Saccharomyces cerevisiae S288C: one gene and its partners. Changing the gene in region 4 together with the main gene of any one other region gives a genetic interaction. Each region holds a gene or a part of one and is shown on either strand. Other genes may lie near its edges.

Evidence for each region.
Region 1: mutations in TOF1 (region 4) and HST3 together harm fitness more than expected from each alone (negative genetic interaction), as found in Saccharomyces cerevisiae (7 studies listed by BioGRID, with this or other methods).
Region 2: mutations in TOF1 (region 4) and CTF8 together harm fitness more than expected from each alone (negative genetic interaction), as found in Saccharomyces cerevisiae (9 studies listed by BioGRID, with this or other methods).
Region 3: mutations in TOF1 (region 4) and SRS2 are lethal when combined (synthetic lethality), as found in Saccharomyces cerevisiae (7 studies listed by BioGRID, with this or other methods).

The regions. Positions count from the first base shown.
Region 1 is NC_001147.6:373,043-380,062, reverse strand, and holds HST3 (NAD-dependent histone deacetylase HST3), read right to left. Parts: upstream 1,845-7,020; coding exon 501-1,844; downstream 1-500. Other genes in the region: BUB3 (Bub3p), read right to left, coding at 1-282; AHC1 (Ahc1p), read left to right, coding at 2,351-4,051; DDL1 (putative carboxylic ester hydrolase), read left to right, coding at 4,206-6,353; protein-arginine N-methyltransferase SFM1, read left to right, coding at 6,624-7,020. UniProt on the Saccharomyces cerevisiae protein: NAD-dependent histone deacetylase, which contributes together with HST4 to histone H3 'Lys-56' deacetylation, regulation of telomeric silencing, proper cell cycle progression, DNA damage control, DNA recombination, and genomic maintenance.
Region 2 is NC_001140.6:484,867-488,327, forward strand, and holds CTF8 (Ctf8p), read right to left. Parts: upstream 1,766-3,461; coding exon 1,364-1,765; downstream 1-1,363. Other genes in the region: ERG9 (bifunctional farnesyl-diphosphate farnesyltransferase/squalene synthase), read left to right, coding at 1-1,313; LNP1 (Lnp1p), read left to right, coding at 1,960-2,796; EGD2 (Egd2p), read right to left, coding at 2,846-3,370. UniProt on the Saccharomyces cerevisiae protein: Essential for the fidelity of chromosome transmission. Required for the DNA replication block checkpoint.
Region 3 is NC_001142.9:253,905-263,337, reverse strand, and holds SRS2 (DNA helicase SRS2), read right to left. Parts: upstream 5,916-9,433; coding exon 2,391-5,915; downstream 1-2,390. Other genes in the region: protein kinase activating protein DPB11, read left to right, coding at 1-581; GWT1 (glucosaminyl-phosphotidylinositol O-acyltransferase), read left to right, coding at 786-2,258; TOK1 (Tok1p), read left to right, coding at 6,526-8,601; KHA1 (Kha1p), read left to right, coding at 8,896-9,433. UniProt on the Saccharomyces cerevisiae protein: ATP-dependent DNA helicase involved in DNA repair at least for UV-induced lesions. The polarity of the helicase activity was determined to be 3' to 5'.
Region 4 is NC_001146.8:119,080-128,519, reverse strand, and holds TOF1 (Tof1p), read right to left. Parts: upstream 5,638-9,440; coding exon 1,921-5,637; downstream 1-1,920. Other genes in the region: guanine nucleotide exchange factor SEC2, read left to right, coding at 1-1,715; GOR1 (glyoxylate reductase), read left to right, coding at 6,350-7,402; BOR1 (Bor1p), read right to left, coding at 7,522-9,252. UniProt on the Saccharomyces cerevisiae protein: Forms a fork protection complex (FPC) with CSM3 and which is required for chromosome segregation during meiosis and DNA damage repair. FPC coordinates leading and lagging strand synthesis and moves with the replication fork.

The DNA of each region.
Region 1 (7,020 bases), on a different chromosome or scaffold from region 4:
AGCTTGGAAGCTGGGACTACCTATCAAATCAACTTTTAGAATTTCACCCTGTACAGTTCCCACGTATATTTGCAGATCGGTATTGTCGATGAAATTGCAGCACAATAACGGATGTTTATATCGTAGCGATTGTAAAAGGTCAACATTCTTTGCTTGAATGTCGAATTTGTAGACTGTTAAAGAGCCATCCCAAGACGTAATCAAAAGCAGTGACTTGGAAGGGATTATTTTGATGTCGCTTATGTAGTCTTTTGGGGCCTGCTCAATTTGTACTATCTGCATGCCGCGACTGTTGTGTTTTCGTGTTGCAGATATCAGATAGCTTTTCTTTCGCGATGTGATATTTTTTTCGTTCACTATTTTTTGTATTCTCGGACATGCAGATCTCCGTTGGTATATGTATGAGTATATAAATGGAAGATAAATTAAACGGATGATATATTATGCAAAGGGGTGTCTGCCTCGATTATTTATCGTTAACTCAATTTTAATAGTTAAGTTTATGAGGCTTGGTTGTCACCGAAAGTTGGTCGTATCTTAGCGCGTTTTCTTGTATCCAAGTTTTCCTCTTCGTCTTCCTCACTGGAGTTTTCTGGTGACAGTATTTTTCTCTTAACTGTGTTTAACGACTTTATTTTTGTATTCAATTCGTTGTTTCCTTGAATATCAATCCCCTGGGCAGTTCGTAGAGGGGTTGTTGGGGGGGTTCCGATTGAGTCTTTTTGGGCCTTCATTTGCTTTCTCAAGTCGCTCGCCTCCCTTTTTAACTGTCTTAACTTCTTAATTTGATCTTGCGTCTTGAAGAAATCTGGTATTTGGGATTCAAGAAATGTGACCCAATTATCACAATCTGAGTGGATTTGGTAGTCTATAATGCCGTGCCAAGAGGATTCGCCAATGGGTGTCTTGTTTACGAGAATGATCAGGCCGCCACGATCGTGAATTTTCTTACTTAATTTTTTTACCAGTTGTTTCACACCATCAACTTTCAAACTTGTACCCATGATGATCAAAAAATCAGGATTGCCTTTAATTATGTCAAGATTTAGGCCTTGCGTAATAATTTCACAGGATGGATGGTTTTCACCATACAGGACGATATTAGGTCTTAGAATACCCACATTAGAACCAAGAGTTCGCTTTCCTTCATTCAATCTCTTGTTGATAAGTGCTTCGCAATCCGGACACAATGGTAACTCACCTCTTCTTAGACAACGAGACCAGTACCTGCTCCAGGGAAAAGTCTGGAAGCACTTTGTACACGAAAGAGTTTTCAGGTCGCCGTGCAACTGAACGACATCCAGATTTTTCCAATGTGAACTAAATGAGGTAAGCGGTAATTTCCTATTTGATAAAGTAAGTCCTATGCTTTCTTCGAGCCCATCGATGTTTTGCGTGTAACAGCGCAGCAGTTTGTTCCTATCTTTTAGATGCGCAATGAACTTGTGCGTCTTAGTCGGCTTTGCCAATTGAACATTTGAATAGAGCCTCTCCATAAATTTAGCAAAAATGGATATTTTGAAGTCATCTCTAAATAGCGAAATATCAAACATTTCCCTGCCGGACTTGATAGACCAATACTGTGAACAATCCTTTTTCACTAGGTCGTAGAGCCCATCAGAAGAGCGAAAGTCAGGAATGCCCGCGTTGCACGAAATGCCTGCCCCAGTCAGACAAGCAATTCTCCTAGATCTGCTCAACTGCTTGGTTACGCGCCGGAGAACTTCATCGTCGGCATCAAGACCTATAATATGTGCCAGTTTCTCAGTCTGCAAAGAGGACGGTAAGTCGGAGCACATTGAGCCCGATCGACTGGCAGGTGGCGAGGGCGATACTGAAGTCATTTTTGAGAAAGATGGATCTAGTTGTATGTAAATTAATCCCTTCAGTTTTTACACCACTAACCACGTATTTGCCCTTGCTTGTGTTATATATAAGACGTACGCCAGATATAGTTCTCTGGCACGAATAACATTGCTTGCTTTTATTGACGTTTTACCCTTTGTGGTAACAGCAAACATAAACGTCGTTCGTGATGTTGAGTTACTTATTGTTACCCGCAATTGAGGGATACCCGCCACAGAAACACATGCAGTGCATTTGCCACTGTGCATAGCCGTAGGAAGAGGGAAAAACGAACAGGGAAGAAGCAGGAAGAGCAGACAGCAAGAACCCGTGCTAAGGAAGGTGATGAACTTTGGCCACTGAAGGCGCATTTTACCTCTGAAGGATCCCGTTTCCACATTTGTAAGCTAGTGTTCGTTCATATAAACACCCTGATCTTCGGCATTTCACTACTCTTCGGGCTCACGCTTCTCATCCAACACTTTGTGTATATGTCCATCTCCTCATGATGAGTCCCGCCCAAGATAAACTGCAGCACCAGCATCATAATCCTAATTCTTCCTCATCGTCATCCTCTAAGATGACGAACGTTTATCAGGTTACCACGCCAAAGTCTCCTCAGGATTTGGAAAACAACATGGATGAGCCCTTCAAAATGGACACCGCCACCAGTAATCCGGACAAGGATAGCGAAAATACCCAGCGGTTGAAGTACGAATGTGCCAAAGGGGAAATACAGAATGTTTTGAACCTACATATAATGCTAAACCACAAGCATGTTAGGCACTTACGAAGAAATGTTCAAAAGGTTAACGCAAAACTAGCTCTCTTGGAAACCCTGCATAAGGATACTGGTCTATTGAACAAAATCGAACGGACGTATCAACTCAAAATAAAACAACATCAGCAGCATAGCGTGCTCGGCGGCCACTTTCACGACAGTACGGCTACGGAAAATACGAACGCATCAAATTATAACCTGTCATACCCGGTTCTATCGGATTATAACATCAACTGTCAGCCTTTGTCTTCGAGCAGCAACAGAAATCTGTCAACAACACGCATACCACACCACCATTATCATACTAGAAGCAAGAGTAACGGGCTTTTGCTAGAACCTTCTGCCCTCCGTCCGGCAAATTCGAATATAATTGATTACAGGCTAACAGGTTCTAAATCTCTATCAGAAGCCATAACCAAGCCCACTCCCGTCTCGCTTCCTCACTCTAATTCGGATGGCATTTCTTCACCTCGTTCCTCCTCAATCTCCCCCTTAGACGAGCAGCCGGGGTTCCAGATACTCCCTTTTAAACCAAGTCAGATGCATCTTAACCACAGACGTAATTACAGTAGCACTTGTTTGACGAGCAATAGCGGTATCATCGGTAAGACTGAAAATAATGAGCCCATTTTTAGAAGATATGACGGCATTTTGGTTATAATTACGTGCTCCAAATGTGACCGTTCCGGTTTCACTTCCGCGCAAGGTATCGTGAACCATACTCGACTAAAACATTCTAAACTATATTCAAGCCAACCATTGGCAGTTTTAAACAACCAAAAACTACTTCCTAATGATAAGCAGGATCCGGAAATTTTATCTAAGTTCAAGAAACTAAATTTGGACCCAAACAAAGACTACCTACCCTCTGACATTGCAATCCCAAAACCACAATCACCAATCAACCACTCCGAGAACCATACGCGGGCTCCAAAGACTGTCAAGAACACTCCTCATTTAGAAAAACTATACCAAAATAAAGAAGACTTCAAAAAACTGATTGACATGGTTAATGAAACTCCGGATGATTTGAATGAATATTTGAAGCAACGTGAAATTCAATTAAGATATCAAAAGGAGCAAGAAGAGGAATCTTCCAAATCTGATGACGAAGCTTCTTACGTCCCATCACCGTCTCTCTCAGCAACGGCTACAACAACAACGACTACGGACCCACCCTCTCCGCCAGTGCTATCCTCCTCCTTACAAAGAAAATTGCTGCGTAAGAGAAAACTGAGCTTGAATAGCTCTACTCCCATGGAAGATTTACCTTTAAGAGAAAGGTTGAGAGCAAATCCCACTGACAAGAAACCAAGAAAAGCGGCCCTTTTGACTAATGAACTTGAGGGTCCTGATCCTGCAGCAAAATCATCATCTTATTACAATCTAAGGTCGAAATCAAGACTGCGTGGTTCTCATACATAGTACACACATATAAATAAGTAAATTACGTAATATAATATTCTGTTGGTTTTCTGACCTAATTTGTCGCTTTGGAAGAAAAAGTGGATTGTATTTTTTTGCATATTCCCTAATATTGAAGATCACTGAATATACTCACAGTGAACAATTACTTGAAATGCTACGGTTTACTCATCGAGGCCTTCCCTCCAGCACTCGTTTTAGAAACATTTTCGTAAGGTTAAATCACATTTATGTACCATGGTTCTATGCCATAGACGTACCCAACTCCAAACCCTATTTACCCACATATCAAACTTTACACTCACCCAAAAAGTTTAAGCCGTTCTCCGTTGATGATTCTAATCGTTTGGAAAAGGCCAGTAAGCGTCAAGAACGCAGGCCTGTTTTAGTCAACGAAGATTACCTGTTTAAAGTCGACCTCTCTCACATGGAATTGTCCCCTACCTATTGGGAAGGCCCTACTTATCAAGTACGAAGAGGTGTGTGGTTCGACTCTTCAAATCAACCTTTGTCCAGTGATCTTACCTCCGAAATTGAAGGGTTGTATAAGCAGCTCAAATTCGACGACAGTAATGATGATCCGACCACGACACCTCCTGCAGAATCGCAAGATATATTTAGGCTCAAAGGTAAATACCCAGTCGATAAAGAAAACGAAGGAGAGCAAAAAAATGGATCCAGCAATAAAGATGAGAACGAATCTACTTTCAAGTTTATTTTGTTTGCCAATAAACAAACTGCATTTTTACTATCGGATTTAGATGGAGGAAAACTGCAATTAGCCTTTCTAAGGTCTAATCTGGCTCAATCCTTACCGATTAATGCTACAATGATTACAAGATCATACAAATATTCATCCTCCGCAACTACTAAACAGACATCCACATCTTTTAAGGCAGCAAAAACGCCTCAAACGGAAGTAGCAGATGGTAGTAACAGTTCCAAATCGAGGAGCATTGAAACAAAGTTAGAAAAGAAAGTTTCAAACCTCTTCAATTTATCGGACTTTTTACAGTTGTTCAATGGTAATGCTAGTAAAGATCAAGATGATGCACAGAGCTTGGAAAAGCAAATGGAAACAGACTATAACAATGCAGATAACAGTCAAGGCGCTAATGCTAGTAGCAAAATAGAAGATGGCAAAAATTCGGGCGCAAGCGATAGACAAATTAGAAGTAACAGAAGAGATGTGGATAACTTGATACTATGCGTTCACGGTATAGGTCAGACTTTGGGTAAGAAGTACGAATACGTAAATTTCGCACACACGGTAAATCTACTTAGGTCTAATATGAAAAAAATCTACAATAATTCTGAGAAACTACAATCATTAAACACAGCACCTGATTATAAAAGCAACTGTAACGTTCAAGTGCTACCCATCACCTGGAGGCACTCGATAAGTTTCCAAACGGATGCTAAGGAGGAAAATATAGAAAATCCTGACCTACCGACTTTGTCACAAGTCACAGTAAATGGAGTGTTACCCTTGAGGAAGCTACTGGCTGACGGTCTACTAGATATTTTGTTGTATGTCGAACCATACTACCAAGATATGATTCTACAACAAGTAACCTCTCAATTGAACAAAACATATCGGATTTTTAAAGAATTTAATCCAGAGTTTGATGGGAAAGTCCATTTAGTGGGCCATTCGTTGGGTAGTATGATATTATTTGATATTCTATCCAAACAAAAAAAATATGAATTAGAATTTCAAGTAGACAACCTGTTCTTTATTGGCTCACCAATTGGATTGTTAAAGTTAATTCAAAGAACAAAAATTGGTGACCGTCCCGAATTTCCCAATGACTTGGAGAGAAAATTAACCGTACAGAGACCGCAATGTAAGGACATTTATAATGTTTACCACGTCTGTGATCCCATTTCTTATAGGATGGAACCTCTTGTTAGTAAAGAAATGGCTCATTACGAACAAACTTATTTACCACATTGTAGTGAAGCTTATGGACTAACTTCTAAAGTTTTGGAATTTGGCGAAAACATATGGAAAGATTTGCCAGGTACTGATGAAAATAATTTGCAGTCCAAAAAAACTTCTCCAGAAAAAAAAGAGGTCAAGTTATCAGAAAATCTTACGAGAATGCTTACAGGTTTGAATTACACCGGACGTCTAGATTATGCTATGTCTCCAAGTCTGCTAGAAGTGGATTTTATATCAGCTATAAAATCACATGTTTCTTATTTCGAAGAACCGGATATTGCAGCGTTTATCCTAAAAGAAATTTTAAGTAAACATGAAAATGCATCAGAAATATATGTAAAAAGAAAGACTGGTTGATCAGTAAACGCAAGGCACAAGTTTTTTTTAACTTTTTTCTTTACTGTCTATTATAGTTCCACTGTGTAAGGTTGTATTCTTTCCGTACTTCAACTTGCGGGTAACAGGATTGACACCTTTTCAATTTTTTCCGTTATTTTGGATTAGAAATTTTCGGTAAGCTCATCGAGTATTGTAAAAGAGCAATGCCCTTTGCTTATTAGATGTTGAGGGGCATATCTATTGTTAATATAGATTGATACAGCTGTGGAGATTATTTCTAGATATACGATGAAGTACATTATTGAGCATATGGAGGAAGGGTTTAGTGAATGGGTCATTTTAGAGTATAGCCAAATCCTGAGAGAAGTAGGAGCTGAAAACTTGATTTTATCATCGTTACCAGAGAGTACCACGGAAAAGGACATCCCTCAAAGGCTACTAAAACTTGGTTTAAGATGGACTACAAAGGATTTGAAGGGCATTAACGAAGATTTCAAGGATTTGGAACTGTTAAAAGATGGCAGAGTCTGTCTATTGGACCCTAGGGCTACAATCGATTTACAGCCGGAGGATGCTACGAAATTCGACTATTTCGTATTTGGTGGCATATTGGGTGATCATCCTCCAAGAGATCGTACCAAAGAACTAAAGACTGCCTATCCGAATCTTTTAATTAGCAGAAGAC
Region 2 (3,461 bases), on a different chromosome or scaffold from region 4:
CATTGCATCCGGTCGAGATGAAGGCAGCTTTGAAGCTGAAGTTTTGCAGAACACCGCTATTCTCCATCTATGATCAGTCCACGTCTCCATATCTCTTGCACTGTTTCGAACTGTTGAACTTGACCTCCAGATCGTTTGCTGCTGTGATCAGAGAGCTGCATCCAGAATTGAGAAACTGTGTTACTCTCTTTTATTTGATTTTAAGGGCTTTGGATACCATCGAAGACGATATGTCCATCGAACACGATTTGAAAATTGACTTGTTGCGTCACTTCCACGAGAAATTGTTGTTAACTAAATGGAGTTTCGACGGAAATGCCCCCGATGTGAAGGACAGAGCCGTTTTGACAGATTTCGAATCGATTCTTATTGAATTCCACAAATTGAAACCAGAATATCAAGAAGTCATCAAGGAGATCACCGAGAAAATGGGTAATGGTATGGCCGACTACATCTTAGATGAAAATTACAACTTGAATGGGTTGCAAACCGTCCACGACTACGACGTGTACTGTCACTACGTAGCTGGTTTGGTCGGTGATGGTTTGACCCGTTTGATTGTCATTGCCAAGTTTGCCAACGAATCTTTGTATTCTAATGAGCAATTGTATGAAAGCATGGGTCTTTTCCTACAAAAAACCAACATCATCAGAGATTACAATGAAGATTTGGTCGATGGTAGATCCTTCTGGCCCAAGGAAATCTGGTCACAATACGCTCCTCAGTTGAAGGACTTCATGAAACCTGAAAACGAACAACTGGGGTTGGACTGTATAAACCACCTCGTCTTAAACGCATTGAGTCATGTTATCGATGTGTTGACTTATTTGGCCGGTATCCACGAGCAATCCACTTTCCAATTTTGTGCCATTCCCCAAGTTATGGCCATTGCAACCTTGGCTTTGGTATTCAACAACCGTGAAGTGCTACATGGCAATGTAAAGATTCGTAAGGGTACTACCTGCTATTTAATTTTGAAATCAAGGACTTTGCGTGGCTGTGTCGAGATTTTTGACTATTACTTACGTGATATCAAATCTAAATTGGCTGTGCAAGATCCAAATTTCTTAAAATTGAACATTCAAATCTCCAAGATCGAACAGTTTATGGAAGAAATGTACCAGGATAAATTACCTCCTAACGTGAAGCCAAATGAAACTCCAATTTTCTTGAAAGTTAAAGAAAGATCCAGATACGATGATGAATTGGTTCCAACCCAACAAGAAGAAGAGTACAAGTTCAATATGGTTTTATCTATCATCTTGTCCGTTCTTCTTGGGTTTTATTATATATACACTTTACACAGAGCGTGAAGTCTGCGCCAAATAACATAAACAAACAACTCCGAACAATAACTAAGTACTTACATAATAGGTAGAGGCCTATCCTTAAAGATAACCTTATATTTCATTACATCAACTAATTCGACCTTATTATCTTTCGAATTGAAATGCATTATACCCATCGGTACGTCTAGCTTTGTCACCTTCCCCAGTAAACGCTGTTTCTTGCCGACAAACAATGTGGCCCTCTCTCCGTCAATCTGTAACGACCCAAATCGTATTAAAGTTTCGCCGTCCTGTTCACTGAACCTTCCCTCATTTGGAGAATCTCTCCTCGCCAGCGACGCAAAGTCCTTAGGCAACTCTAGTTCACCTTGAATCTCCAGCATCATCATCCCAAGCGGTGTTATCACCGTGGTCTGCTTTTCTCTTGACTGTGTCAACTTCTGCCATTGACTAGCATCTATATCTACACTAGGCATTCTTTTCAGCTGTTTATTGGGCTGAATGATAGTGATAATTCTTTTTTCTATCACTCCTTTGGCTATATTAGTGGTTAGCTTACTAAAAAAGATTAAAGGAAAAATGAAATTCAAGATGCTAACGTTGACATGTATATTTTAAGAAAACAAAAATCATACAAAGAGGAGATCGGATATAAAAGAATAACATAAATATGTTTAGTGCATTAGGTAAATGGGTCCGAGGCTCTCGCAATGATAAGGACTTTGTGACGAAGTATACCGCAGATTTATCACAAATAACTTCACAGATCCATCAATTAGATGTCGCGTTAAAGAAAAGCCAATCCATCTTGAGTCAATGGCAATCAAATCTGACCTTTTATGGTATTGCGTTAACGGTATTGGCCCTGAGCTACACATATTGGGAGTACCATGGTTATCGACCATACCTTGTGGTGACTGCGCTACTATGCATAGGCTCGCTAATCTTGTTCAAATGGGCATTAACCAAACTCTATGCATTTTATAACAACAATAGGTTACGCAAGTTGGCAAAACTCCGTGCAATTCATCAAAAGAAACTGGAAAAGTTAAAGGAAGAGACCCACTATAATGCTACAAGCTCAATCATCCAACGGTTTTCTTCCGGTGAAGATCAAAACGACGATGCCATGGTACTTCTAGATGATGAATTAAATGCTAAATACCAAGAATTAAACAATCTAAAGACAGAGCTAGAAAAATTTAAGAAGGAAAGCCATGTAAAGGGCCTAAAGAAGGAAGACAGCGATGCATGGTTCGACAAAATCATCAGCGTACTGGCAGGCGGTAATGAATTGGACTCAACAAGTTCGCTCTCTCCCTTCAAAAAAATCATATGTCCACAGTGTCATTGGAAATCCAATTGCTACAGATTGGCCAGTAAGCCAATCATCTTTATCTGTCCTCACTGTAACCACAAAATAGACGAAGTAAAGGAAAGAGAAGACGCCATTGAAGCAAAACAACCGGCACAGCCTTCGCAGTCGGAGAAGGAAAAAACAAAATGATTTTGCGTTAGAATAACTACGTACCCCTATATAATATATTTTTATATCATTATTTAGACAAGGACATGATAGCGTTGACTAAGTCACCATTGTGAGCTTTCAGGGCTTTGATGGCTTGGTTTTTGGAAACGTTAGTTTGTTGAACGACTAACTCGATATCATCCTTATTCAAGTCACCGGCATCAACTTCACCTTCTTCGTCATCTTCTTCTGCTGCGGCGTTGACACTGCCTTCTGCGGCGGCTTGCATGTCAGCTTGGATGTCTTCTGGGGACTTGGTAGCGACGTCTTCGTTAGATGGCATAATACCGCTAGCTTGAGCTTGTTGTTGAGCAGCGGCTAGCTTTTGGGTAAAGTTGTCAACCTTAGCTTCACCGAAGACAACGTAGTTACCACCGGCAGATCTGAAGACTTCTGGCTTTTCAATAGCATAGATTTGGTTGTCCTTCTTCCTGAAAGTGACTCTGATGATACCTGGGATTTGCTTCAAACCCAATTTGCCAATCAATTCTCTGGCTTTCTTTTCGTTCTTGTTTAAGACGGTAACGTTGGCGTTTTCTGGGATAGCAGACATTATCAATTGAGTATGTGGGTGTGTGGTTGCTTGTAAGGGTTGCTCCCAGAAGGAGACTTTACCTTAGTTCTTGTTTAAAATAATCCTTTTC
Region 3 (9,433 bases), on a different chromosome or scaffold from region 4:
AAAATAATGAAATCTTTTTAAACAATATCAAGTGGTGTATTATCTGCCCAAGAGGACACAAGGACGATTTTAAATGTAAGATAAAAAAACCATACTATACCAGCATTAGTTCAGAAAAAAAGTACCAAAACAATGATCCAAAAATCGACAAAACTATTCTTTTGAAAAGAAACAATTCCTCATTATCGGAGCACTCTATGAAAGATACCAAAAACGAATTATTGCAGAAAATTAGAGAAACTGATTCTGGAAGAAAAAAGCGTAGTGTCTCATCGAGTATCATGGATGTTTCTTCAGAGAGACAAATGCCGGATACGAAAAGGATCAAGTTGGAGTCACTGCCAAAAAATTTCGTTCCTAAACAAATTAAACGAACCACGAGTTGGGGCACAATAATGTCAGAAAATGTGCCTACAGAGCAGCCGACTGCAATTTCTAATCCAGAAGAGATCCCAAGAACTGAGGAAGTTTCACATACTCAAGTTACCTATGGCTCCATTCAAGATAAGAAACGTACTGCCTCTTTAGAAAAACCTATGAGACGACAGACAAGAAATCAGACAAAGGAATTAGATTCTTGAAATGTAGTCCGTAATTTTATAAGATATTCATTTACATACGCCATCTACAGCATTATTCAAATCTACTCATCTATATGTATTACCGTTTTGTATGATAATACTTTCCATGACATGCTCGCGTGAAAAAACAGCATGAGAAAAAGAGGATCGCAATAAGAAGACACGTAAATATCTAAATAAATGGCAACAGTACATCAGAAGAATATGTCGACTTTAAAACAGAGAAAAGAGGACTTTGTGACAGGGCTCAATGGCGGTTCTATAACAGAAATTAACGCAGTGACATCAATTGCTTTGGTAACTTACATATCATGGAACTTATTGAAAAATTCCAACCTTATGCCTCCTGGCATTTCCAGCGTGCAATACATAATTGATTTTGCATTGAACTGGGTTGCTTTGCTTCTATCTATTACTATTTATGCTAGTGAACCATACCTTCTAAACACGCTAATACTGTTACCTTGTTTGCTCGCATTCATATATGGAAAATTTACTAGCTCGAGTAAACCTTCTAATCCAATATACAATAAAAAAAAAATGATTACACAGCGGTTCCAACTAGAAAAAAAGCCGTATATTACTGCGTATCGTGGTGGGATGCTTATTCTGACTGCTATTGCCATCTTGGCTGTAGATTTTCCAATTTTCCCAAGGAGGTTTGCCAAGGTGGAAACTTGGGGGACATCCCTGATGGATCTTGGTGTAGGATCATTCGTTTTCAGTAACGGTATTGTTTCTTCTAGGGCACTGTTGAAAAACCTAAGCTTGAAGAGTAAACCCAGCTTCTTAAAAAATGCATTTAATGCCTTAAAATCAGGAGGAACTCTATTGTTCCTAGGATTGCTGAGGTTGTTTTTTGTAAAAAATTTGGAATATCAAGAACATGTCACAGAATATGGGGTTCATTGGAATTTTTTTATCACCCTATCATTGTTGCCACTTGTATTGACCTTTATTGATCCCGTCACAAGAATGGTTCCACGCTGCTCAATTGCAATATTCATTTCATGCATTTATGAATGGCTACTTTTAAAGGACGATCGCACTTTAAACTTTTTAATTTTGGCTGATAGAAATTGTTTCTTCAGTGCTAATAGAGAAGGCATCTTCTCATTTCTAGGTTATTGCTCGATTTTTCTTTGGGGCCAAAACACGGGATTTTACTTGTTGGGAAATAAACCAACTTTAAACAATCTTTATAAGCCTTCTACGCAAGACGTAGTTGCAGCATCAAAGAAGTCTTCGACTTGGGACTATTGGACTTCAGTAACCCCATTAAGTGGCCTCTGTATATGGAGTACAATTTTTCTTGTTATCAGCCAGTTGGTTTTTCAATACCATCCTTATAGTGTTTCAAGAAGGTTTGCTAACTTACCATATACTTTGTGGGTCATTACTTATAATTTACTATTTTTGACTGGGTACTGCTTGACTGACAAAATTTTCGGTAATTCTTCGGAATATTATAAAGTTGCCGAATGCTTGGAATCAATCAACTCCAATGGGTTGTTTTTATTTTTGTTGGCAAATGTCTCTACTGGTTTAGTCAATATGTCTATGGTCACGATAGATTCTTCACCCTTAAAATCATTCCTGGTTTTGTTGGCATACTGCTCATTCATAGCTGTCATATCGGTTTTCTTGTATAGAAAAAGAATATTCATTAAGCTATAATAACACACCATCCACATTTCCATGTAGTTCGTATACAAACCCTACCAGTAAAATAAAATTAACTCCTATGTGCTTTAAATAAAAATTATAAACCGCCTCCAATAGTTGACGTAGTCAGGCATGAAAGTGCTACTAATCGATGACTATGATTTCACCGTTGTTTAATTTTGACTTTTTTTTCGCACGTGACAGCTGAGAAAATATATCCATTTGACTTGATGCAGGTTCATTCTTCACCTTTTTGGAAAATTTCTGTGTCTTTTTCATTGCTGCGTCAGCCAAAAACTTAGCATTGGAGATTATTGGACGATTGTCAACTGTAGTGTCATCCGGATTATGTAATAACTCAGCAGCTGTTGTATTTCTGCTGTCATCTTCCTCAAATTCACTCTTCAAATCTATCACTTCCTCCACCTTAACCTTGTCACCTCTCTTAGACTTTCTATTTCGAGTTTTTGGTTTTATTTTTTTCGTCTTTTTCGAGCCCAAAAGCTCTCTCCTCCTTTCTATTGATATGTCATTTAATAACTCCTCATCGGATAGATCTAATTCGTTGTTTATATCTTCTATTAAGTTCGTTGGCTGATCAGAATTACTGCACGCGCTAGAAAACCCAGAAAATTCACTCGACGTAAGCGACTGCCCTGATTTATTGGAGTATTCCGGAGGATGCAGTTCATCAACATTTGACTGGGTTTCTATTCTGAAAGTTCCTGCAGTTGCGAAATGAATATTACGAGTAACTTTGTCCTTCCTCGTAGGTGATGGTCTCATTAAATCATCTGACATGTGGCTCGTCTTATTTGGAGATGCTCCTTTTAACGACCTCGTTGATGATCGTGGTGATATGTCTGTGATGGACCTATCTTCTCTTCTCAGAAAAGGAATATTTTTCCCAGTAGAAGAATGAAACTCCTGCCTACTAGGTACATTAGTTGTTGAAACGTATTGAGGTGCATACACCTTTTTCTTTGTAGGAGAATGGAATGATGTAGTTTCTGGAGCGTACCTTTTTTCTGGACTTTTAACTCTACTTTTAGGAGCGTAATTGCCATTGATTTTGGATGGGCGTGATTTTTCAATAAGTTTCTTCTGTGGGAATATAGAGTTTTGCGTTTCGAGTCGTAACTGGTCCGCAGCTGACGTGAAATCACTAACAGAACCCAATAATTTATTTCTAGACAACTGTATTCCATAGACATCATTCATTTGTATCCCTTGCCAAATCATCCTTTCTCTCCTATTTTCAATGAATTGGTTATAGTCTTTGCGCAATTGGTCAAGGGAGAATAGTTTATCATCTTCAGCAGGCGGCTTTTTGTTCAAAATTCGGTATAGTTTTTTGATACTATTCGTACTTTCAAATAATTTTTGGCTATCGGACATGGCTTTTATCAAGTCAGTAGTCAAAAATCGGCTTGCAATTCTTGGTCTATCGACATCTTCCACAGTTACAGTATTTGATAGGTACAACAGGTATTTTGCACGAGTCTGTGCAACAAAAAACATTCTTCTTTCCTCATCTATAGAATCTTCCACGGATAAAACTCTAGTCTTTTTTGGGCTTGCATCTTTCTTACTATTTTCTTGATCTTCTTCTTCGTCCTCCTCTGATTCGTCTTTCTTATCATCGTTGAACACACAAGGAATTATACCTTCTTCGCATCCAGGAATAAAAACTACCGGCCACTCAAGACCTTTGGCACCGTGAATTGTAGATATCGTGACAAACCCATTCTTCTCACGTTTTATTTTTGCATCTTTATTGGATTCCGACTCTTCCTCCTCAGCTGCATCAGAATGAAGGGAAAGTGAATTGAAGAAATTACGGAGGTATTCTTTTGGAGTGATGACCTTGTTCTCTATTGGTTCGGCTTCATCTGTTGCTGCTTTAATGGCTTCATTTTTTTCTTTATCTGAAGATTCTGACTTGGAAAGAAGAGCCAGGAAATAGTTTTTCAAAAGTTCAATATTCTTATGTCTTGCGTTTAATAAATTAGGTTCGGATTTTTCAAGCTGATCATTTTTTTTCTTACCATCCTTGTACAAGTATTCGTATTTCAGACCTGATAATTCATATAGCTTATCAAATAAATCTGAAAGACCCCCTAGTAAAGTGCTCTGGAGCAACAATTGACAATTTTCTATCATTGAAATGAAGTCAGCAATCACAGAACGGCCTTTCGTCGGTATGTCTAGCATTATTTTTTTACTACTTATGTCTTTCAATATTTGGAAACATGACACATCGGTAGCTAACGTGTCCAATGCGTTCTTAATCTTCTCACCGGTAGCAGGACCAAGGCCCCTTGCTGGATATAAAAGTGAAGCAAGAATTGCATGTTTGTCATTCGGAGAAAATATCAATTTTAATAAATTTAACATCGCTCTTGTTTCCTTGGAATCCCAGAAACTGTGGCCCCTAATAATTTTATAGGGTATCCGATGTTCTATTAATGCACTTTCGATCCTTTTAATTTGTCTTCGTTGTCTTACTAGGATAGCAAAGTCATTAAATGTGAATAGGTTTGGCAATGCCTTCAAATATAGTAGTTCCCGAACTAAAGAAGGTGCTTCCAAAAAGTAAGCGGGGAAATTCATGTAAACTGGTGGAAAATCCAGGTCAAATTGGGCACGGAGTGGAGCCCTATTCTGCCGACCTTTGTTTTGTTGCGTTATTAAAATTTCGCTTGTATTTAGAATTTTTTGTGATGAACGATAATTTTCAACAAGTATGATAGTTGAGTACTCGATGGGACATTTTCTGCCCATTTCTAGAAAGTTGTGCGCTAAGGCGTTTCTGAAAGCATATATGCTTTGATCAGGATCACCTACGATGGTCATCCCCCTCGAAAGATGATGATTTCCCTTAGCAAAAAGAAACATCAAGTCCAATTGAATGCCGTTAGTATCTTGAAATTCGTCAACTAAAACATGCTTTATGTTGGATAAAACACGCACTCTAGTCAGCAAACGAAAGGTGTACATTAATAAGTCATCAAAATCTAACGTATTTTTCTTGCTTAGCTCTGATTGGTATATTTGGTAAAAGTAACCAAGCGCGGCGTCATGATTCGAATCTAAGATGTATTCCTCAGGTAATATTGCGTTTGATTTTAGCTTTGATATCTGTTTCTTGATCAGCTTCGGATGAATAGTCCATTCATCTCCATTTTTACTCGGCATACAAAGATTTACTTTCCTTGTGATTGAGGAAGCATAATCCCTTATTTGGTCGGGAACTTTTTCGATCATATCATCTAAAATGACATCTATTTCCTTCTCATCAATAATTCTCCAGTCTTTCTGTAGATCCACCAAGTGGCCAAATCTATAAAGTATTTTCAGGCAAATACTATGAAAAGTACCAATTAAGAGCTCCGAAATATTCACGCCTGCCCCGCGTAACATTTCTTGCAAACGCTCTTTCATTTCGTTAGCAGCTTTGTTAGTGAAAGTAGTCACTATAATATCGCGGGGATGAATATGGTGGTGCAGAATAAGATACGCTACTCTTGAAGTTAAAACCTTAGTCTTCCCTGTGCCGGGACCGGCAATGACCTGCAGCCCTCTAGTGTAATCAAAGAGGGCCGCTGCTCTCTGTTGAGTATTTAACTGGGATACTAAATGCAACCAAAGATCATTGTTCGACGACATTTGCTATCCCTAAGTACCGGTAGAAGAAAGATCAAATTGGAATGATACTCAAAGTGCAGAGTACAATTATGGATGGCAAAAGAAACTAGAGGGACAGGAAGCTGTCTAAAAGCTGTAGAGAAATATTCTTATCTTGCCGACTGCAAATTTATCGAGACTCTGCGAAGGTAGCCTAAGCAGTAGTATCAGGATAGCTGGAGGTAACTCTAAACTCGCTCCTATTCTTCTTCAGCATCGTTCTAATTGTTGTCACTTTTGTTTGTTTTGGTTTTTTTGGGAGTTTTTCGCATTCGCGTCTCGTTACCCTAGCATGTTTTAAGCGGCGCTATCATTATGGTTGAAGAGAAAGTTGTAGTTTATCAACAGTTAGATACTTGATATACAATACGAAGCAGTGGTTGTGTATACAAGTGAAGTACTCAATGTAATATACATTACCTGAGTACTCAGTACCATCTTGGTTATTCAATATGGCAAAAATGCCTGACCCTATGTATCTTTTTCCATCAAAAATAGCCGCATCTCGTAGATCGTGAGCAGATGTCTTCACTCCTTTCTAGCAGTATAACAAAGCATATTTCTTGTATTTATTTTACCGATTTCTATATATATGACAAGGTTCATGAACAGCTTTGCCAAACAAACGCTGGGATATGGCAATATGGCGACAGTGGAGCAAGAGAGCTCAGCTCAGGCTGTTGATTCTCATTCAAACAACACACCGAAGCAAGCTAAGGGTGTTCTTGCAGAGGAACTAAAGGATGCATTGCGGTTCCGGGACGAAAGAGTTAGTATTATTAATGCAGAGCCTTCTTCAACACTGTTCGTCTTTTGGTTTGTGGTTTCATGCTATTTCCCTGTGATTACTGCCTGCTTGGGTCCCGTAGCTAACACTATCTCGATAGCCTGTGTAGTTGAAAAATGGAGATCCTTAAAGAACAACTCCGTGGTGACAAATCCACGAAGCAATGACACCGATGTTTTGATGAATCAAGTAAAGACAGTTTTTGATCCTCCTGGTATTTTTGCCGTTAATATCATCTCTTTGGTACTGGGTTTTACGTCAAATATTATACTAATGCTACATTTCAGTAAGAAGTTGACGTATCTTAAATCTCAGTTAATAAATATAACAGGATGGACAATAGCTGGAGGGATGCTTTTGGTGGACGTGATTGTATGCTCCTTGAATGACATGCCCAGCATCTACAGTAAGACTATCGGATTTTGGTTTGCCTGTATCAGTTCTGGTCTATATTTGGTATGCACCATTATTTTAACAATACATTTTATTGGATATAAATTAGGAAAATATCCTCCAACGTTCAACCTTTTGCCCAATGAAAGAAGTATCATGGCATACACTGTACTATTGTCTTTATGGTTGATTTGGGGTGCGGGTATGTTTAGCGGTTTATTGCACATCACTTACGGAAATGCATTATATTTCTGCACGGTATCATTATTAACCGTGGGACTAGGTGACATCCTGCCCAAGTCGGTTGGCGCCAAAATCATGGTTTTAATCTTTTCGCTATCTGGTGTTGTCTTGATGGGTTTAATAGTGTTTATGACAAGATCCATCATTCAAAAGTCCTCTGGCCCAATTTTCTTTTTCCACAGAGTTGAAAAAGGCAGGTCCAAATCGTGGAAACATTATATGGATAGTAGTAAAAATTTATCTGAAAGGGAAGCGTTCGACTTAATGAAGTGTATCCGACAAACGGCCTCAAGGAAGCAGCATTGGTTTTCTTTGTCGGTGACTATTGCAATTTTCATGGCTTTTTGGTTATTGGGAGCTCTTGTATTCAAATTCGCAGAAAATTGGTCGTACTTCAATTGTATTTACTTTTGTTTCTTGTGCTTATTAACCATTGGATACGGAGACTATGCTCCAAGGACTGGTGCAGGCCGTGCTTTTTTTGTGATTTGGGCGTTGGGAGCCGTGCCATTAATGGGGGCTATCCTATCTACAGTCGGTGATCTGTTGTTTGACATTTCCACTTCTCTGGATATTAAGATCGGTGAATCATTCAATAATAAAGTCAAGTCCATCGTTTTTAATGGGCGTCAAAGAGCACTTTCCTTTATGGTGAACACTGGAGAAATTTTCGAAGAATCTGACACAGCTGATGGTGATCTGGAAGAAAATACAACGAGCTCACAATCCAGTCAAATTTCTGAATTCAACGATAATAATTCAGAAGAGAATGATTCTGGAGTGACATCCCCTCCTGCAAGCCTGCAAGAATCATTTTCTTCATTATCAAAAGCATCTAGCCCAGAGGGAATACTTCCTCTAGAATATGTTTCTTCTGCTGAATATGCACTACAGGACTCGGGGACCTGTAATTTAAGGAACTTGCAAGAGCTACTTAAAGCCGTCAAAAAACTACATCGGATATGTCTGGCGGATAAAGATTACACACTTAGTTTTTCCGACTGGTCGTACATTCATAAACTACATTTGAGGAACATTACAGATATTGAGGAGTACACACGCGGACCCGAATTTTGGATATCACCTGATACGCCCCTCAAGTTCCCGTTAAATGAACCTCATTTTGCTTTTATGATGCTTTTCAAGAACATAGAAGAATTAGTTGGTAATCTAGTAGAAGACGAAGAGCTTTATAAAGTTATAAGCAAAAGAAAATTTTTGGGTGAGCATAGAAAGACACTTTGATATACAAACACCCGAAGCATTGATTTATATCTTACTGTAGACTACTACGGATGTATTCTCTAAATATTTATATTCAGCATCTCAAAATAAATACTGAAAGCATTTTTCTGCTGTAAATGCGCTTTCAATATTATGCACCCGTTGCGTCTCGCATTAATGTGGCTGAGCTCCAGTAAGGGAAAATAAAAAACAAAAACTGTTCGCTTATTATATCATCTCTTGTTGCTAAAGCACACATCAAATGATACCAACGATTATTATTATTACGAAGTTGTATTATTTATATTCTATCAAATGGCAAACACTGTAGGAGGAATTCTGTCGGGTGTAAATCCGTTCCACTACAACTCCAGTTCGCCGCTTACATTATTTCTCTTTCAAGCATGTCTCATACTACTGGTATGCAATTTAATTCACATTCCCTTTTCAATGATGAGGCAGCCTAAAGTCATTTCAGAAGTTATATCTGGTGTTATTTTGGGGCCTACTATATTTGGTCAAATTCCAAACTATACAAACACAATTTTCCCTACATCATCGATCCCGGGGCTAAATTTAGTGGCGAATTTGGGAATAATACTGTTTATGTTTTTTTTAGGTTTAGAAGTGGATATTGCTTTCATCAAGAAACACCTAAAGAAAGCACTCGTGATAGGTATAGTCACTTTAGCAGTGCCATTCGGTTTTGGTTGTCTGCTGGCGATTCCTTTATTTCACACTTATGCAAACAAAACAGAAGGCGAAAGGCATATTAAATTCTCTGTCTTCATGGTATTTATAGCTGTTTCCATCTCCGTTACGGCTTTTCCAGTTTTATGTCGTATTTTAAATG
Region 4 (9,440 bases):
TGAATAAAGTTCCAACTTCATATTCTCTTGCTTCCCAAGATATTTATAGCGGAATTGTGTACTCGCCAAGCATTTCATCTATTCGTTATGATATAAGCCTTTACAATGAATTTCTAAAATTTGTCGCTGCACTACCCCGTTGTGAAAACATAAAGGCAACTTCAACCGAATCAAAGTTAATACGAAGATTGGTAAATGATGAAATCCAGCCTATACTTAAGATTGATAATGCTTCAGGCATCGGCTGGTTGGTTAAAAAAACCCTACTTTCCTTGATTATAGATGGTTTGGTGGTCGTGGAACCCCTAAGCGGCGTTAATGCAACCTACCAAATTGGCTACAACTCAAGTAGCCCTGCAAAGCAAGCCACTTCGAATATGCCAAAAATGTTCAAGTTTCCCTTAGATTCACCTCCAGTTGCAGTGCACGCCGCATGTTCCTTTTGTGGAGAATCTAGAGATGACATTATCGAACACGCAAGGATGTATATATTGAAAACGTTGCACAAGACTGACGACGGTAAAGAACAAGTTACGAATACGTATCCCTTGTGTCATTGGTGTTTGCTAAAGTTGCGGCAGACATGTGAAATCTTTGCTTTCCTGAGATCATTGAAGGTAGGCGCATGGCATTTAGAAAAGCTAACGACGCAGAACATTACCAAGGAAGATTTGGAAAAATTCTCTGAAGTAACGAAGCATACCAAAAGAGACGGCAGGGTTTCTTCTCAAGACAAAAAAACCAAACGTTTAAGTTTTATGGCAGGACTTGGTATCAATTCTTCAACAAAAAATAAGCCAAAGATGGAGATTTTTTCTTCTGAAACAAATGCAAAGCCAGGACAACCTACCACTAATATTCAAAGAGCATGGCTGCAATTGTGTAAATTGCGTTGTATACTTCATTGGACTCATATTGGCATATGGGCAGTGGATGATTCAATTTCTTCAAAAATTGGACCGTTAGTTGAGGATGACAGCGATGAGGATCAAAACGATGCTATATCGGTTCGCTTGCAGGACAAAGCTCTTTGGAAGCAGGACGCAAAAAGACCTTTTTCTTCATCTAGCGCAGAAGAAAGTCAAAAGAGCGACGCTTTTGACTTTGAAAGTGGAGATATGGAAAATGAAATTACGGGTGAATCTTCAAGTGATGAATCCTCTTCAGATGGGTCTTCCACAGATAATTCAACCGCAGATAGTTCATCAGAAGATGAATCTTCTCTAGCAGATTCTACTACAAGTAGCGCAGATTCTAGTTCACCAGAGAGTATAGACAACGGTGAAGGTGATGACACGGTAACGAAAGATGACAAAAGTAGCATTAAGTCGGCAAATAATAATGAAGAAAACAGCGATTGCGGAGATAAAAAAGGTCGTTCTATAATAAAGAAAAAGGCTCCTCAACGCAAGATACAAAAGAAGAAGTTACTCCAAGATTTGGATGATTTAGAAGAGCAATTTAGAGAAGAAAGCGCAATTGATCAGACTGAATTTGAAAACGCTGAGTCTAATGTAAAACAAAATATATCCTCGAAGAGGGCATCTTCTGGAGACGAGAACTCTAAGAAGGATAATAATGAAAAAACTTTAAAGACAAACTTGACGATAGGCGACAAAACCCAAGAACAAATAGGGGAAAATAGTCCTAGTAGCGGATTGCATGCGTCTTCAAGCAATGATGACAATTTCGATGATGCCCAGGAACAGCAATAAATTATATAATATTTAATTTTATGTGTCCTAATGGACATTTGAGTTCCTTAAGATGTTCAACAACTTAGAAAAATATAGGTAATGATAAAGAATGAATCGCATGTATTGTTTTAATATTATGTCAATACTTTGAACTTAAAAACAGAGTAAAGAAGTGGTTCTAAAATTACACGTATTAAAGGGATTAATTACTACATATTCATTCTCAATCATCACTATCACCTTGGCTCAAAACAACTCTAGACTTTTTGCCAAAAAGGCGGATGGCCTCTTCATCTTCATCGCTTTCATCGGCTGCACTCGCTTCCAAAGAACGCTTTGTAGATTCTTTTCTGCTATACACCTCAGATTGGAACATATTTTGCGAATTTGATGGCTGTGATGAGCCCAAACTATTTCTTGATTCCGAGTTGACATCGTCATCAGAGAGTTGATTATTATTGTTATTATTTACATCGAAAATAGACATTTCAGATGCCACGTGGCTTGCTAAAGAAATGAGGCTTTTATCTGGCGCAAAGGAACTACTTTCTGTAGCTCTTATGCTTTCAATACTTGGTATGGATCCACCAAACAAGCTCGTATAATCTCCTGTCACAACACCCCCATTATTCATCCTTTCCGCGGCAAATTTGGCAAACTGGATATATCTATCCTCGGTCAACTGACCATTGTTTTTATCTAGTAACCATCTCATATATGTTTCGTTTTCAAAAAATATAGGGTTCATCAAATCCTCGTCATCTTCTGAATCACTAATAAACTCTTTACTGAATACGCCATGGCGTTCTCTAACGGTCTGAGGTCGTTCATCATCCTGGTCGCCAAACATTGGCAAATTAGTCTTGGCTTCTCCTTTCCTACGCTTCCTCTTATCTTTTTTTTTGGATCTCGCAATCCCTTTACTGAATTTGGTACCTTTAAGTTTATCTGATGCATTGTTATCTAAATCCTTGAAGTATGCTGCGTCGCTTTTCGATAAAATTTGATCATCTGGAACAATGTAGGGATCGTTGTAATCATAATCATCGTCTCCTTCCCATCCATCTTGTTCATTGTGAGAAAAACTATCCTTTTCTGAACGAACTCGTAGAAGATAGGAAGAAGAAGGCAGTCCGTTTGGAGTTTCAAATGGTGTTGATAAGTATTTTTTCACTAGTTCACAAGAAACAGTCAGGTCAGAAACTTCAACAGTCCCCGGTAAAAAACAAGGTTCATTGATTTTACGTGGAATGGAGTATCCTATCAGCAACAATAAAGCCCTGTAGTCCTTATCTTTAAAAATAGGGTCGTTGTTGAGTACACCTGTCAATGTGAAATATTCATTGGGTGGATTAACTGTTTCTTTCCCAGCATTAACATTTACGGTTAGCCACGACTTAAAAATATCTAGTGTGTGGGTTATATGCTTGAGCAGTTGGTCCAATAGTTCAGTTTTTCCATCATCAAGTAATGTGGAAACTAAAACACCATATTTCATATCCAACAAAATCGAAGGTGGTAAGGCTTCTTCATCGGGAATTGGTTTGAACTGTGATGCAGGAGCGGCATACATTGATTCATTATTAAGTACATTATATTCACCATATCTTTGGTAAAATCCTACTTCACTATTGTGTAATGGCGGGAAAAGTAATCCAACAAACCAAGCAGGTGATTTCTTTAACCTTTTCTTCAACCTGGCGAGGAAGTAGTCTGAAAATTGACTCACATATTTCCTTGAACGAGACATTCTATCTAATCCGTCAGGTGAAAGCATTTCTCTTAATAATATTATCAAATCAAATCTAAATAACAATGCCTGTTCTTTTGCCTGAACAAATACTCTATGGAAAAAGGAAAATACTTTTTTAATGGAATCGTCCTCAAGCTCACGAAATCTTTCAAGGAAATTAATGTACGTTTCTATTACCGGTTCTGTCATATAGTTGGCTTGCACCTTTTGAAAATTGACTTCTATACTTCTTAAAGAAGAGGTTAGAATATCAAGCGCTTCATCTCTATCTACATTTTCTTCTTCTATCAATTTAGTAATATCACCTTCTGAAATATTAAACTTTTTTTGCCGTCTTGATTTGCCTTCAATAACTAATGTTTTATCGTCAGAGTATTGCTCTAATACTTTCAATACCGAGTGTGTTAGTTCAATGCAACTTTTCATGAATTGGAGGGAGTATTTGGAACCAATCTTCGGCAGATTTGACAGTAATTGTATTCTCTCGTCACTGAAAAGCCTACTTACAATGAATTCTATATCGGTCGAATCCTCTTCTTGAGCGGCCTTTGTACGGGAAACGAGGTTCAACAGTTCATTAAATGCAATCATACCAGCATGTGTCACTGTCCAATTTTTCAGGTCATATGCGCTTCTTAAAAGAGAAGACACTAGAATGAAAGTCACCTCTTTCAAGGCTTCTGAAACTTGCTTTATATCTGCGGAATTGTCGATTTTGGACCTCAACAACTGGTATTTAACAAACCATGCAAAGAAAAGTAAATATTCGACTTGCTCCAAAGTTACCATCCTATCCTGCTCAGTTGTGAAGTAGTTCGTCACACTATGCAACAAGATGTTAAAGCCGGAATCTATAAAGTTGTTGATGAATTCTTTGAAATGTTTACCATTTGATTCGGTGAAAAAAATAGCTTTACCGGTTTGTGAATTCAAGAGACTATTCGGTAAGCCCTCAGCTGCGACAGATTGATGCTTTTTAATTATTCTTTTATTCCATTTTTTGCTGTCATCTAGTTTTTGGAGCGCTATTTTTTCATCTACGAGAGCTTGGCTACCAGAAACAGTTAACCTAGTTTTATCTGGTGTTTGTATAGATAAAAGACCACCAAATCTGGAGTGTCTTGCAGATGTATGCTTGATAACGTTTTTTCTCATTTGGTGTTCCTTTTGTAATAACTTCGATAGTTCAAAACCTGCACTTGTAACAATGTTATTAGCAGAGGAGCTCTCATTTTTATTTACCACCTTTGAATGTGTCCCGGTTTCGAACTGTCGAGGGAATAGCAGTTCTTGGTTAACATCTTTAGTGAAGTAGAACATAATCTCCAACAGTGGGATATTGATAAAGTCCTGGTCAAACTCTTTTGATAAGGAGCTGGTCAGCGTTAAGAGGAAACCGAATACCTTGTTTTTATGGAATGAGGAAATAACCGTATTTAAAGAGATGTCATCCATAGAGACGTTTGGTGGCAAAGTATCGATAGATGTGATACCTTTCTTAGGCATGCTTTTCTTAGTATTGATAGTAAATTCACCGGGTTCTATAGCAATGACATTTCTGAAAAAATTCAAAACCAATTTGAGAACCATATTGTCCCTAGGAGTTCTTGATAATCGGTCGATTTTGATAACATCCAGAGCCAATCTAATGGCAGCTCTTAACACTTTACCACTTTCCATAGACAGAATCGTTTTCTTGTATACCAATTGATGCTTCTTTAGCTCACCATAGAGAGTAATTTGATTTGATGAAGACTGTTCAGTTACAATTAAAGGCCAAGTCATAAGGACCAATAGTTGTAGACAATTTAGCGCAATTTTATCGTAATAAGCTTTGTTTCTAAACTCTTCATGGTCTGGGTTGTTCTTTGCAAGCTTTGCTGCAAGAGAACATTTGTTTTCCCAATCTATCAGAATAGGTAACAGATCATCCGTCAAGATGCGATATTCAGCTACTGCCATTGCCACATCCCATCTTTTCTGCTGGTCATCCACTAGTTTAAACCATCTTTTCAGATCTTTTAAGCACGCCAAACAGTCATCGCCAAGCTTATAAGGGGGTGGGTCTATCTGGGAAGTATAATCCGGCCCACCGATGGCAGTTGCCAATAAAGCAATTCTTGCTCTAAGTACCGTCAGAGAGAAATCAGCCGCATTTGTAGTGCCTTGTTGCAAATCAGCAGACATAGTGTGCGCCCTCCTATATTAAAGATACACTAAACCCCACAAGCTAGATGGTATTATCATATGTGAGGCGACTTACGAACCATATCTCATTTGAAAAATCCTTAATACTCATTTTAATTTTTCATCGTAAACGCGTAATGCGGCAGTAAACGCGTCAAAGTAGCATAATGGAAGGGCCATTTCCACAGGGAAGCAATTCATACAGGGCACTACCCAGTTGTGATAGTAACACAGAACAGCTTCCTAAAGCAAACGGTAGGGATGCCTATATACAGGACAACTACTGGTTATTTCGCTGACTTGATATGAGAAGTGGCAGTGAAAACCAGCGTTATGAACGGTGAAACCGAGCGGGGATGGATGAAAAGTACGTATAACTCTGTATACACCTCACTTGGCTTCATAATGTGGTTCCGCCATCTGATTGCGTTGCTGTGGTCTTCAGAATTCCTGAAGGACGACGCAATTAGCTCTAGAGCTTCTCCAGGCATTTATTACGTAGGACCGAGAGCGGACTTAAAATCTGCAAAAGTCTTGGCAGGGGGCGGGGATAACAAGGCAATCTTATCCCATTTTTCACTAATCTCGAGCATATAAAAAGTAAATTCTATTGGCCTTGTTGTTACGTTAGGGAAATCCTTCTACATGATTATTGCTCTACAATACCGAAGTATTAACAATACATAAACGAGCAAGAAGAGGAGAAGAGAATATGAGTAAGAAACCAATTGTTTTGAAATTAGGAAAGGATGCCTTTGGTGACCAAGCCTGGGGGGAATTGGAAAAGATTGCGGATGTAATTACCATCCCTGAATCCACCACTAGAGAACAGTTTTTGCGGGAGGTAAAAGACCCACAAAATAAGCTCTCCCAAGTACAAGTCATTACTAGAACAGCAAGGAGTGTGAAAAACACCGGTAGATTTGATGAAGAGCTTGCTCTTGCTTTGCCCTCCTCCGTAGTGGCTGTATGTCATACTGGTGCTGGTTATGACCAAATTGATGTTGAGCCATTCAAGAAAAGGCACATCCAGGTTGCCAATGTTCCTGATTTAGTTAGCAATGCTACCGCTGATACGCATGTATTTTTGCTATTGGGTGCCCTAAGAAACTTCGGTATTGGTAACAGAAGGTTGATCGAGGGAAACTGGCCGGAGGCAGGACCCGCATGTGGTTCTCCCTTTGGATACGACCCTGAAGGGAAAACAGTTGGTATACTGGGTCTAGGTAGGATTGGTCGTTGTATTTTAGAGAGATTGAAGCCGTTTGGGTTCGAGAATTTCATATATCATAACAGACACCAGCTTCCTTCCGAAGAAGAGCATGGTTGTGAATATGTAGGATTCGAGGAGTTTTTGAAGCGTTCTGATATAGTATCTGTAAACGTCCCACTGAACCACAATACTCACCATCTAATCAATGCAGAGACTATTGAAAAAATGAAAGATGGTGTAGTTATTGTTAACACAGCGCGTGGTGCCGTGATAGACGAACAAGCCATGACTGATGCTTTGCGTTCTGGAAAGATTAGAAGTGCTGGTTTGGACGTTTTCGAATATGAGCCAAAAATATCCAAAGAGTTATTATCGATGTCCCAAGTCTTAGGACTGCCTCATATGGGCACACATAGTGTAGAAACAAGAAAGAAAATGGAAGAACTGGTCGTTGAAAATGCAAAGAATGTGATATTGACCGGGAAAGTCTTGACTATTGTTCCGGAATTACAAAATGAAGACTGGCCCAATGAATCTAAGCCATTAGTTTGACTACAAGATCCATAGTTTTATTCTTCCTTTCGAAATGCGATAATATTATTATACTTCTTATATATGCAATTAATTTCTATATATTACAAGTGGTTGACTTTTGTACATCCTAACTGCGTTTAGTCTTCATGCTTATCACAGAACTTTGCATCACGAATATTTTCCAATAACAAATTTTTAATGGTAAATTTTTGTGCCACATTAGTATCGAGAATCTTTAATTCTTCAGTCGGGAAAATATAAGCAAACGAGAAAGAAACTAACACACTTAAAAGCAATACTAAGGGAAAGCCGATGGCCGCTATAGTATTTGTGATAGCAAATTCACCAGCAAACCCCGTCAGGCTAAAGGAAAGAAATATCAGCATTGACTTCTTGGATACTTTCATTAAAGGTGAAGTATTATCTCTTCTGTTAGGGTCTGAAAACAGGAAAACCAACCGTTGTATAATACTATTTGTCATTAGGCCATTGATGCCCATAATGAAAAACAATCCGGAAAGTACTGCCTGAGGGATTTCTCCTAAGCATACCAATAACGGTCTTGTCATTGTCCCTAGAATCATCAGGCCCTGAAACGTATTTGTAAATCTTTGCTCTACGCAACTGATAACCTTTTGGTTTGAATCCCTAACTAGCAGTGTCTCTGTGTGCAATGGTGCTTGAGGAATCAAACCATTGGGCGCCGGGATTCCTAGAACCCCGCTGATGCAAGTGGTAAGTCCCAATAGTGCGAAATCGTAATGAAAAGAGGATGGTTTTTTCAGCTTATACTGATGCCTTTGTGCCATTAGCGACGATACGTTATGATCAAAGTAAAACAAGATTGTTAAAAATATACCAAATGGTAGGGCAATAAAGACGTCTTTAACAGGAATCGGTTCATATGCCAGCCAAGTATTTTGAGGCCTATTGACTTTGGAAGTAGGAAAAAAAGCTTTCGTAATAGGCAATTTTTTAAATTTGACATCATGCAAGTAGCCACCAAAATGTGTAAATGATGACCAGAATAGCACTGAAAGCGCAGTTGAATAATCAGATATGAATGTTCTGATCCTATGAGAAAAGAGGGGGTAATAATGAAATAATTTAAAGAAAAGACCAAACGCAGTCATAACCAGCGCCACCACGACACTAGCAAATCCGTCTTGTACTGATTTCTCCCCTGATTTAGCACTGAACTGTCTTGTTAAAATTTGTATTCCTTTTTGAATGTAGACCACATTAATAAATAATCCAAATATGTCACATGGGAACGTAGTCACGTATTGCAAGAGGCAAACGGCGTTCGTAAATGCTAAAACTAAATGAAAAATCATAGACCACATACAAATCCAAAACATGAAGCCAAAATAGCTGGTATTCAAAGGCTTTATAATTTCGTAGACCGTATAATTAAAAATAGAGATGGGGCCAGTAACACCCACTATACATAAGGGCTGTCCACCAAGAACTCCAAAAACAATTCCAGCCATTGCACTGGATAGAAGTACTTCGTTCACACCATAGGAATTATCAGTCCTATCAAACATATCTTGCGCAAAGGCTATTGCAGGTAGCAGGTTATTAAAGTAGGTGTCAACAATAGAGGGAATAACTCTGTAATTAAACGCATCTACCCAATCTGACTTGTAATACGGTATTCTGTCCTTCAAATCGAGCCATATGCCTATACCTAGCGTCGGGAATCGACGTCGGGATAACTTCTCGTGGCTCTCTTCATCACTTCTACTTTCTGATACCGATGATTCTCTGTCTAGCTCATCGTTTGTCCGTTCCAATGCTTGCGCACACTCGTCGGAGGCTGTACAACCGCGACTAACGGTAACTCGTGTGCTCTCATTCGACATGCCTTGCCAGCGCTATTACTACTTTTTGGATGATAAAGGATATGAGTATGATTATTGCGATATGCTTACTTTTACGCCACGAGTGATCTAAAAATTACTTCAGTGATGTATTTTCCCCGCTAAACGAAAAAAGTTTGAAGTAAGCTAAGGCTACAGGGAGAAGAACAGTTGTTCATGTAATGTCGAGT